Linked DNA regions of Drosophila melanogaster. The protein of the gene in region 1 purifies or fractionates together with the protein of each later gene. This does not show direct contact. Each region holds a gene or a part of one and is shown in the gene's direction. Other genes may lie near its edges.

What was found.
Region 2: the proteins of kune (region 1) and wrm1 purify together in Drosophila melanogaster (affinity purification with western blotting, with the first as the bait; one study listed by BioGRID). This does not show direct contact.

The regions. Positions count from the first base shown.
Region 1 is NT_033778.4:5,669,926-5,673,826, forward strand, and holds kune (kune-kune), read left to right. Parts: upstream 1-1,815; 5' UTR 1,816-1,909; coding exon 1,910-2,704; 3' UTR 2,705-2,875; downstream 2,876-3,901.
Region 2 is NT_037436.4:7,332,836-7,337,751, reverse strand, and holds wrm1 (wurmchen 1), read left to right. Parts: upstream 1-2,525; 5' UTR 2,526-2,672; intron 2,673-2,853; 5' UTR 2,854-2,916; coding exon 2,917-3,210; intron 3,211-3,282; coding exon 3,283-3,477; 3' UTR 3,478-3,483; coding exon of another isoform or gene 3,484-3,657; 3' UTR 3,658-4,208; downstream 4,209-4,916. Other genes in the region: eco (establishment of cohesion), read left to right, coding at 1-1,814, 1,877-2,081; wrm2 (wurmchen 2), read left to right, coding at 3,484-3,657; mus312 (mutagen-sensitive 312), read right to left, coding at 4,459-4,916.

The DNA.
Region 1 (3,901 bases):
GCTTTATGTAGAATCAAATTTAAAAGTAATTAAAATAAAAACATTTTCAAATATTTAATACAGATAATGGTGGTTTATGTACGGAAAACTTATCTTCAAAGTCTTTGTATAAATCTGTATCTAATTCCGTGTGTGCTGGCGAAGTGAATTTTTAACGGCGCGATCCCGTCCGTAGTGTGAGTAAAACCAATTTGTTTCCCTTTTTATTAAATTAAATCAAGACCAAGATAAATATAAAACAAATTAATGGCATTGAAGTTGGTATAATAATAATGTATAATATAATTATTATATATTAATATATAATATTAATATAATATAATAATTGTATAATATACAATGTGCCACAGATCACCAGGAAAATATTGTTCAACATAATTTACTTTTTGTCTCGCCGTTTCACTTTTTTGATATGACTGGTTTGTTACGGCCAAAAACGAGTCAAAACTGCCACCTCCACACTTTCGAATTTTTTTTTTTGATATTTGTGAATTTTTGTATTAGTTTATTAGTTTCCATCCATATGTCGAAATTTTTTTCCACTCTGAGCCCCACAAGCCTACCCCGGTCAAGTCAAGAAACATGTTTTGATATTTGTATCAGTCTTGTTAATTTCCTTTGATCTGCTACGCCCACTCTAACGACCACAAACCAACCAAATCTGTCACGTCCACACTTTTGAACCATTTATCTTTTATCTTTTAAAATACACTACTTTAAAAAGTTCCATTCCGCAGAATGCGTGTACTTTGGGATGGTTATTTCTATTTTTGGTGATACGAAATCAGAATATAAATCAATTCTTCTACACAGAAAAGCAAAACTTTTGCTATGATCAGAACAATTTAAAAAAAGGGGTTTGTATTGACCTTAAGCACCTAAATATATACGTGAATAAAAAATGTACCAATTTTAATCAGATATTTCGATAAATTACTTAAAGATGTTCTGGTAAATTCAACGATACGAAATCAGATCTATTGCAATCAGTTTTTTGAAACGATCAGTAGGTGTGTAAATTCTATTTCAGAAAAACTCTTGAATAATGTATTGGAATAGAATGATGGTTCAAAAGTTGCAAGAATTATTAATATATTCCAAATTTGATGGTATACTTTTTCAAATTTGTTACATTTGTAATATGTATTATTTTTAATATGCAATTAAAGAAAGATATTTAACATTTATGATGTGGCTCGAATAATAACAAAAGTTATTCGACAGAAAGGCAACAACAACACTCACTATGACCTTGATTAATGCACTAAAATGTCACAAAAATGCATTTGCCCAGGCGATCAGATCTTCGATGAGAGAGATTGAGAAATATACCACGCAGGAAATACTCCCCATTCAAATATTCAGTATGAAATAGTTTTTTATACAGTGTATTGAATAATTGTATTGCATTGTGTATTGAAGGCATAAGTCGTAAGGCTTTATTCACCAAAATTCAAAAGGTCAGTGCTAGACTATATATATGGGCTAGTGCTAATTAGTGTTTGCGTGCGAATTCCTGTTATCCATCGCCACTGTATCGATTTTTAAAAACACAATTTTGATTGAATTCTCTAATGTTAGCGAGTTGTCCTTATTTTACAGATCTGTCTACCAGCACCATACAAATATCAAATGATCCGTTGGGTCGTCTCTGAAAACTTTTAATTTATTTCATAGGATTTTTAAGTTATGATTTATAAAAAAAACTGTGGGATGTTATAATGTTGTTATATTAGAAGCGCTTTTTAAAGTTTCACATCTGCTTATATCCCAGCCGTTCCGCATAGAAGTGGTATATTAAGCGAGATGATTCGTCATTCAAAAATACCATTTTGAGTGCGACGGTCACACTTTAGGGCGTGTTATTTTCCAAGCCGACTTGTTAACGAAATTTTTATAGAAATAACAAATGGGTGCGTCCAACCGCATTTTACAAGTTGCCCTTTGCGCGTCCGTGTTTTCCCTAATATGTTTTGTTATCGCGTTTTCCACGCCTTATTGGCTGGTTACAGACGGCAGATTACAAAACCCGCGATTCACTAACCTAGGCCTTTGGGAAGTTTGTTTCAACAACTTCCAGGACATACACCGATTTTTTGACAATTCCTTTAACGGATGCCTATGGGTTTTCGAAGAGGAATATTACATCATACACGACTTCCTCCTGCCTGGCTTCTACATATCCGTTCAACTTTTTGCTACGCTATGCTTTGTAATGTGCCTTGTTGTTATACCACTCACTGTAGCATTTCTTCGCACTTCTCGCGATGATGACAGGTACATGGTGCTCCTGCTGGCGATAGGATCATGCCAGGTTGTGGGCTCTGTTTTCGGGTTTATTGCTGTGGTCATTTTTGGCGCCAAAGGAGATTCTCGGGATTGGATGCCAGGATGGCAGAACAATGATATGGGCTGGTCATTTGCTCTGGGCGTTGTTGGCGCTGTGCTGCTACTGCCGTCTGGCGTACTCTATCTAGTAGAAGCGCGTCGGGAAAGGTACAAGCGCTTAAACGAAATCAGCAATCGGGAGATCAGTGAATACGGAGATGAGTATTACCAGAATCAGGGACCCTCCGCAGTGCTTCCGACCGCTCCATCGCCATATCAATCCTATTTTGCATCTGAGCCAAGCCGACCAAGAAGACCCCAACAAAGTAGTGCATCGAATTCCGCTGTACAAGGAGGAATTCAAACAGATATATAAATCAAAAATGAATTCGAAGGAATTATCCGTCCATTTACACAATATTTAATAATAATTAACAAATATACAAATATATACGATGTAAGGTAGAATAGTCATTCCACTAAATCCACTACAAATGTTTTTAAAATGTATCGAATTCGAAGGTAATAAATATTTGTCAAATAATTTATTTTATCTTTTCCTTTTTTTCCGATTTTCTTAACTTAAAATGTTAAAGACAGGACACTGTGCCTAGGTTAAATCGCGGGAGCTAGCTACACTGTCTGTCTTACAAATTTGCAAGATTGTATGTATTTTGATTGGCAGTGTTATTAAATTATGATCACAATACAGGAGACAGACAAGGTACCCACTTAGCTAGTTCTTCTATGCGAGTATAGTTTAGCTTGTAAGAAGGGAGCCAGAAGATCTTCTGACAAACTATAAACTAATAAAGGGTTTTCATTGGGGCGCTTGATCTTTGAACTGAAAAAAAAAATTTGAAAGGTCAATCGAATCCATTATGAATGGAATATGACATCATTCAAATGACCACCAAATGCACGAAATGTCCAATTTTCGATGACTCCGCGCACAAATCGGGCTGTATTTGATCGATGGCGTGGCGTATGTTGACTTTGAGGACATCGGTGTCTTGCGCCTTGTTGTCATGGACCTGCGAAAACCCCAAATGAAAAAGAGGGGTCAAATCACACGATCTCGGTGGCCAGTCCTGTTGAAACCACATGTTGTCCAGTTCCATATTCTCGATTTCAGGCCATATGAAGTTGGTTATCATCGATCGATATCGCTCACCATTGACGGTGACCGCCACACCATATTGTTTTCGAAAAAATACGGACCAATCACAACTGCAGCCGTAAATCCGCACCAAACAGTCACTTTCTTCGGATGTATTGCCATTTGGTGAACCGCGTGTGGATTGGTCTCGTCCCACCAATCGAAGGATAGTCGACTCGGCAGGACGATCATCGCGACCGTAAAACGGGCTAAGTGCGCGGAACGTTGCTTGAACTAAAGACCCATTTTCATAAAACAAAAAAAAAAAAAAACAACAAACATCAAAAAACATGGCCGCAATGTTGCGGCAAGTGGCCTTTTTTGCGGATCAATTGCGATTAGATTTTTATTCAAGGTCATAGAATAATTATATAAACAAAAACTTATGCAACTCACAAAAGGAATAATTTAATG
Region 2 (4,916 bases), on another chromosome or scaffold:
GAAACGTCCACCCCGGTTGCTCCTTCAGCGGACGCCGACTCTGGTTCGCCGCAGAGCAAGATGCGCAAGGTGACGCTGAGCAGCAGCATTCCCACCATGGCCTTCTATTCCCACAGTGGAGAAGCGGTCACAAAGTCAAGAAGGCGGCCGTCCATATCCAAGAATTCGCTTAAACAACCAACGAAAATCTCGCCAACCTCCCGTCCACTATTGGGCATTAATAAGGGAGTTCACCACAAAATACGCAAGCGTCACGGTTTTGCCAACCGACTGCCAGCCACCGATATGGACAACATTCTCAACTCGCTGAGCAACGAACGGCTCAAGAACCTGATCACCACCAAGCGTGAAGAGCGCGCCAAAGTGGAGGAAGTCCACCAGATTCTCCGTAATGCCAAGGACCCGATCAAAATGGCCAAACCATTGAGTGTGATTGAAGCCGACGATGCTAACAACAATAACAATCTGCCAGCAACCGCATGGCAAGAAACTTCCGCCGATTTCTCCGATCTTAGTGATGTCGAAGACATTGATCCCATCATCGAGGTGGAGCCTATCATACCAATAATTCGCCACGAGCCGGTCCAGAAATCCCCAACCGCCGAGCCAGCCGATCTAAGCAAACGAAAGTTCTTCAAATCGGGCCGCCGTAGTAGCACCTGCATGGAGGTGAGAATCACGGACAACATCCGGGCCAGCGTCAGCCAGGGCAAGATTGAACTCGTCCAAACGATACGCCGTAAGCCGCGGCAAGTGCGCGTCAAGTCGGCCACGATATTTTCCGCCGAGCAGGCGACTGTGGATGCGATCCTAAAGAATCTGGACGATACGGTGGTTGATGAGATTGTAGAAGCGAATCCGGTGGTACAGGCAACGCCCATTGATGCGGAGGAGACGACCATGGAAACGGAGTCGCTACCGGATATAATTGAGTATGCCCCAGAGGCGAACGATGTGGAAATTGATCCCTTTGCTGAGTTCCGTCAACGTTTGCCATACCAAACCGATGATCCCAATGTCGTGGAGCAACAGCAAATTTTACTAGAGTTTCTCATTAGCAACAATATTTGCACCGAAAAGAACTTTGAGATATTTATTGCAAATCCGGATGACTACAAGGACGAGGCCAATCAAATTGTGGACAATTTATACATGGTGGTGAACAGCGAGGAGGCTGCGCAGCTTGCTCAGATGGAAACAGTGGAAAATACAGCGGTGGCCATTGCACCAAAACAGGATGCGCCAGCAGTAGAGGAAGTTCAGCCAAAGCTTTTCCCCATATTCACTCAACGCTTACAGCCCGTTGTCCAGAAATCGTTGCGGCGTCGGCCGGATACATCGATGAGATTGCTAACGGCGGCGGGTGGATCGAATCAGTACCAGATCGATGCTGGTCAAAAGGCCTTCGGAGCACGGCAGTGCCAGCAGTGCGGATTGGTGTACACCGTGCACGAGCCGGAGGAGGAGCTGCTTCATCGCGAGTACCACAATTCCATCCATGTGCTGCGCTTCAAGGGCTGGATCGACGAGGACATTGTGTCCGTTTATCCAGAATGGGCCAGCGACGGGCGCATCATACGGATCAACGAACGCGCTCCGACAGCTCGGCTCGACAGACTGCGGGATCTCATTGGTGTGGTGGACAAAGAGCTGGGCTATTCCTCGTACATTGTGCCAAAGATCTTTGTAGCCTTCATAGCAGTGCGCAAGCAGCAGATCGTAGGCTTCTGCCTGGTGCAGCCCCTCTCGCAGGCCCATCGTTTCATCCAGGTCGATGGCACGGACTACTTCAGCGAGGAAAGCTACCCGGCCAGGTAAGACATCCCCTACTGCATGCCCCTTCCCTTGTCAACGGCTAAAATGTGCCTTCTTTCAGCTGCGGCGTCTCACGCATCTGGGTTTCTCCGCTGCAGCGACGCAGCGGGATCGCCAGCAAGCTGCTGCGAGTCGTCCAGTGCCACACGGTGCTCGGTCAAGAGATCGCTAGGGAGTGCATTGCCTTCAGTACGCCCACCGACGATGGTCGGGCTCTGGCACGCCAGTTCACCGGGTTGGATAACTTCCTCACCTACGACCAGTGATCGGGGAAATCTATTGAAGCTATTGAATAGCTGGATTGTTTTTGAGTTAGGATTGCTTCGAAACCTGTAATAGTTGATAAGCAAGTGCGATTATGTTACTAGCGGCACGAAGACGCGCAATTTAACATGTTTACAATGGTGGTTTAATATGCCTGTTTTTACGCAATGAACACGATATTTTCTTCGAGTCGCATTAATTTTGAAAATATAGATTAATATTGTTTATCTTACGTGTCGGGTTTTAAAACATGTAAATTTGGTGTTACAAAAATAGCACATACGTTAATTTTTAAATTGTATGTTTATAAACATTGTTTAATATATTTAAATTCTAACAAATAACTTAATGTCTAAATGTATGCAGTAAAAAATTTACACAACCTGCACTTGCGATCGATGAATGGTTATCGATCGCTTGCAACCATGCGGCGAGTCCACAAAGTGCCATCACTAGCACACTGAGCCTGGCTTTTGGGCGTTGTTTTCGTAGCAGCAAAGTGGCTGAAATTAATAACATTTAAGAGCAGAAGTGTGTAACACACCTGAATGGGACTTGTGCCAATCTCAGTGACCACCAATCGCGCGCAAATGGTAAGTGCAATCCGCATATAAGCTGCTAAGTGGGGAGCTGCTGGTGCTGCTAGTTAGTTTACTTTGGTGACGCCACGCCCAATGTGACAAATTGGAATCGGTGGCAATTGGTTTCGGGGTGCAAGTGGCATGCAGCGTGGTGGTTGAACCGCTTTCTCACTCTTCTTCCCCTGCCCTCCAGACCATTGAGCATTGTGCAGCAGGCTATTGAGGCTCTTGCAAGTGACCACACCCCTATAAGACTATGTCCACAATCGAAGAGGAACGCAAGGCGTACGAAAAGAATCCCTACTTCACCGGCCACATCTACGGCAACTTCTCGCCGTTTTATGTGACCATTGCCATCTGCACGGTTGTCCTGGGCACGATCATAATACTGAACATTATCTTGGGCTGCTGCTCCAAGCATCGCAAGTACTGGCAGGACAGGCACACGGGCAATCGCTGGTTGGTTTCCATTTGGTCTGCCACGCCCCACAATCAGCCGCCATTGGATTTCACTGAGCTGAAGGACGCCTCATACTTTCAGCGCTTCCATGTGAGTATTCGGTTTTTTGGCCAGAGCCCGAAAAATCGTGGCTTATTGTTTGGAAACTATTACTTTTTCTAGCCCACAACCCATCAGCAAGTGTTCCCCGACGACGTTGTCATCGGCGTTGACGACTTGGAGCCCGTGCACTCGGCGCACCATCATCATCACCAGCAGCAGCACCAGCGTCCACCACGTCCAGAGGGTCGCACTTTGCACCAGCAGCGCCAGCGCGAGGAATACGTGGAGTTGCAGAAGCGCGAGAGCGACATCTAAGTAGCAATGGCTCTTTACTTCCTTTATCCCGCCGTGGCCGCCGTCGCCCTGTTCATCGTGGGCGTTATCATTGTCATGCTGCGCTACGGACCGCGTTTGTGCGGTTTGCGCCACCATGCGCTTCCCGATGACGAGGATCTGCGGGGAAAGACGTATGAGCATGAGATTAGCTATGCCTAATATTGGGGTGTTCAGGGGTGTCCCATTAATCCCATTCAACCAATGGGTATTGTTGGTGATTTCTTGGACAGCCCTGCCTTTAATTTACATACTTATACATGCCGGCAATGCTACGAATTGCTTCTTATATATCTCTCTCCCCCCAAAACTAATCCTAGCTACTGTAAGAGCCCACTAACCCGTCTGCACCCACCAACCATATCAGTTTTGCATGCAGTACAAATAGTTTCATTAGCAACCAGTTTTGTTCGAGCCGATTCCATTCCATTAATCGCAATCTGACAATGTGCCTTTCACGTAGAGACTCGTAAGAAATTTATACCGTCCAAGTGTCTTTTCTAGCGCCGTAAGATCGAATTGTATTTTTACATTTAATACCCATTTAGGGTAGTCTGTCTACAGATGCTGCATTTAATGTTGTCCAATATTCTACTCGTATGAAAATATCAGTGTCTTGTATCTACTACAAACTCTATACATTTGTATTCGTCCATTAGTTTTGTAATATTGTATTTTGAAGTTGCATCAAATAAATCTACGGCCCCCAAAATAATATTGTGTTTTTTAATCGTAGATGCTAGTGGGTAGCTTGAAATGGCAAATAGGAATGGTTAACAATGCTTCAAACAAAAGTGTTGAATGTATTTGAGTTTTATCAATTTTACATACAATAAATTTAGATCGCAAAATACCAAGTAACAATATCTTATTCAATAATACAATATAAGGTAAATACTAGAAAATAATTCAATGCATTCAAAGTTAGGTATAAGTACAATGAAATTCCATAACTTGTAGAATCTACTTCCTTTTAGAAGGCTTTTTTGTGTGCCTTCGCACATGACGCTCTGCTTGCTTGCCGGGAGCACCCAGTTCATAGCGAAAGATAATGCAACGCCGGTCGAAGAAGGTCTTCAGGTCCTTTGGATCGTATCGATGCCCCATGTGCTTCAGGTGCAAGTAAACTGCCTGCAAATCAATGGGTTCGTACGTGAGTACACTTTCGTGCAGTTGGGGATTGGCGCAGATGAGATTGTGCCAGGCGATGTGCAGTGGCACCAGCGGCTGTGGTGTCTTCTTGGTAACGTTCGTTTGCATGACAAAGGTCTCGAAGTCATCGCAAAGACTCGGGGCAAGGGATTGGGAAAAGCGCAGCAATTCCTCGCCCGTGGCATCGTTAAATGTTAAATCCTTTTTTGTCCCAATTGCCTTCAATGTTTTAGAGGTTGACTTTGCTACTTGCGAATGTGGTCTCTCCA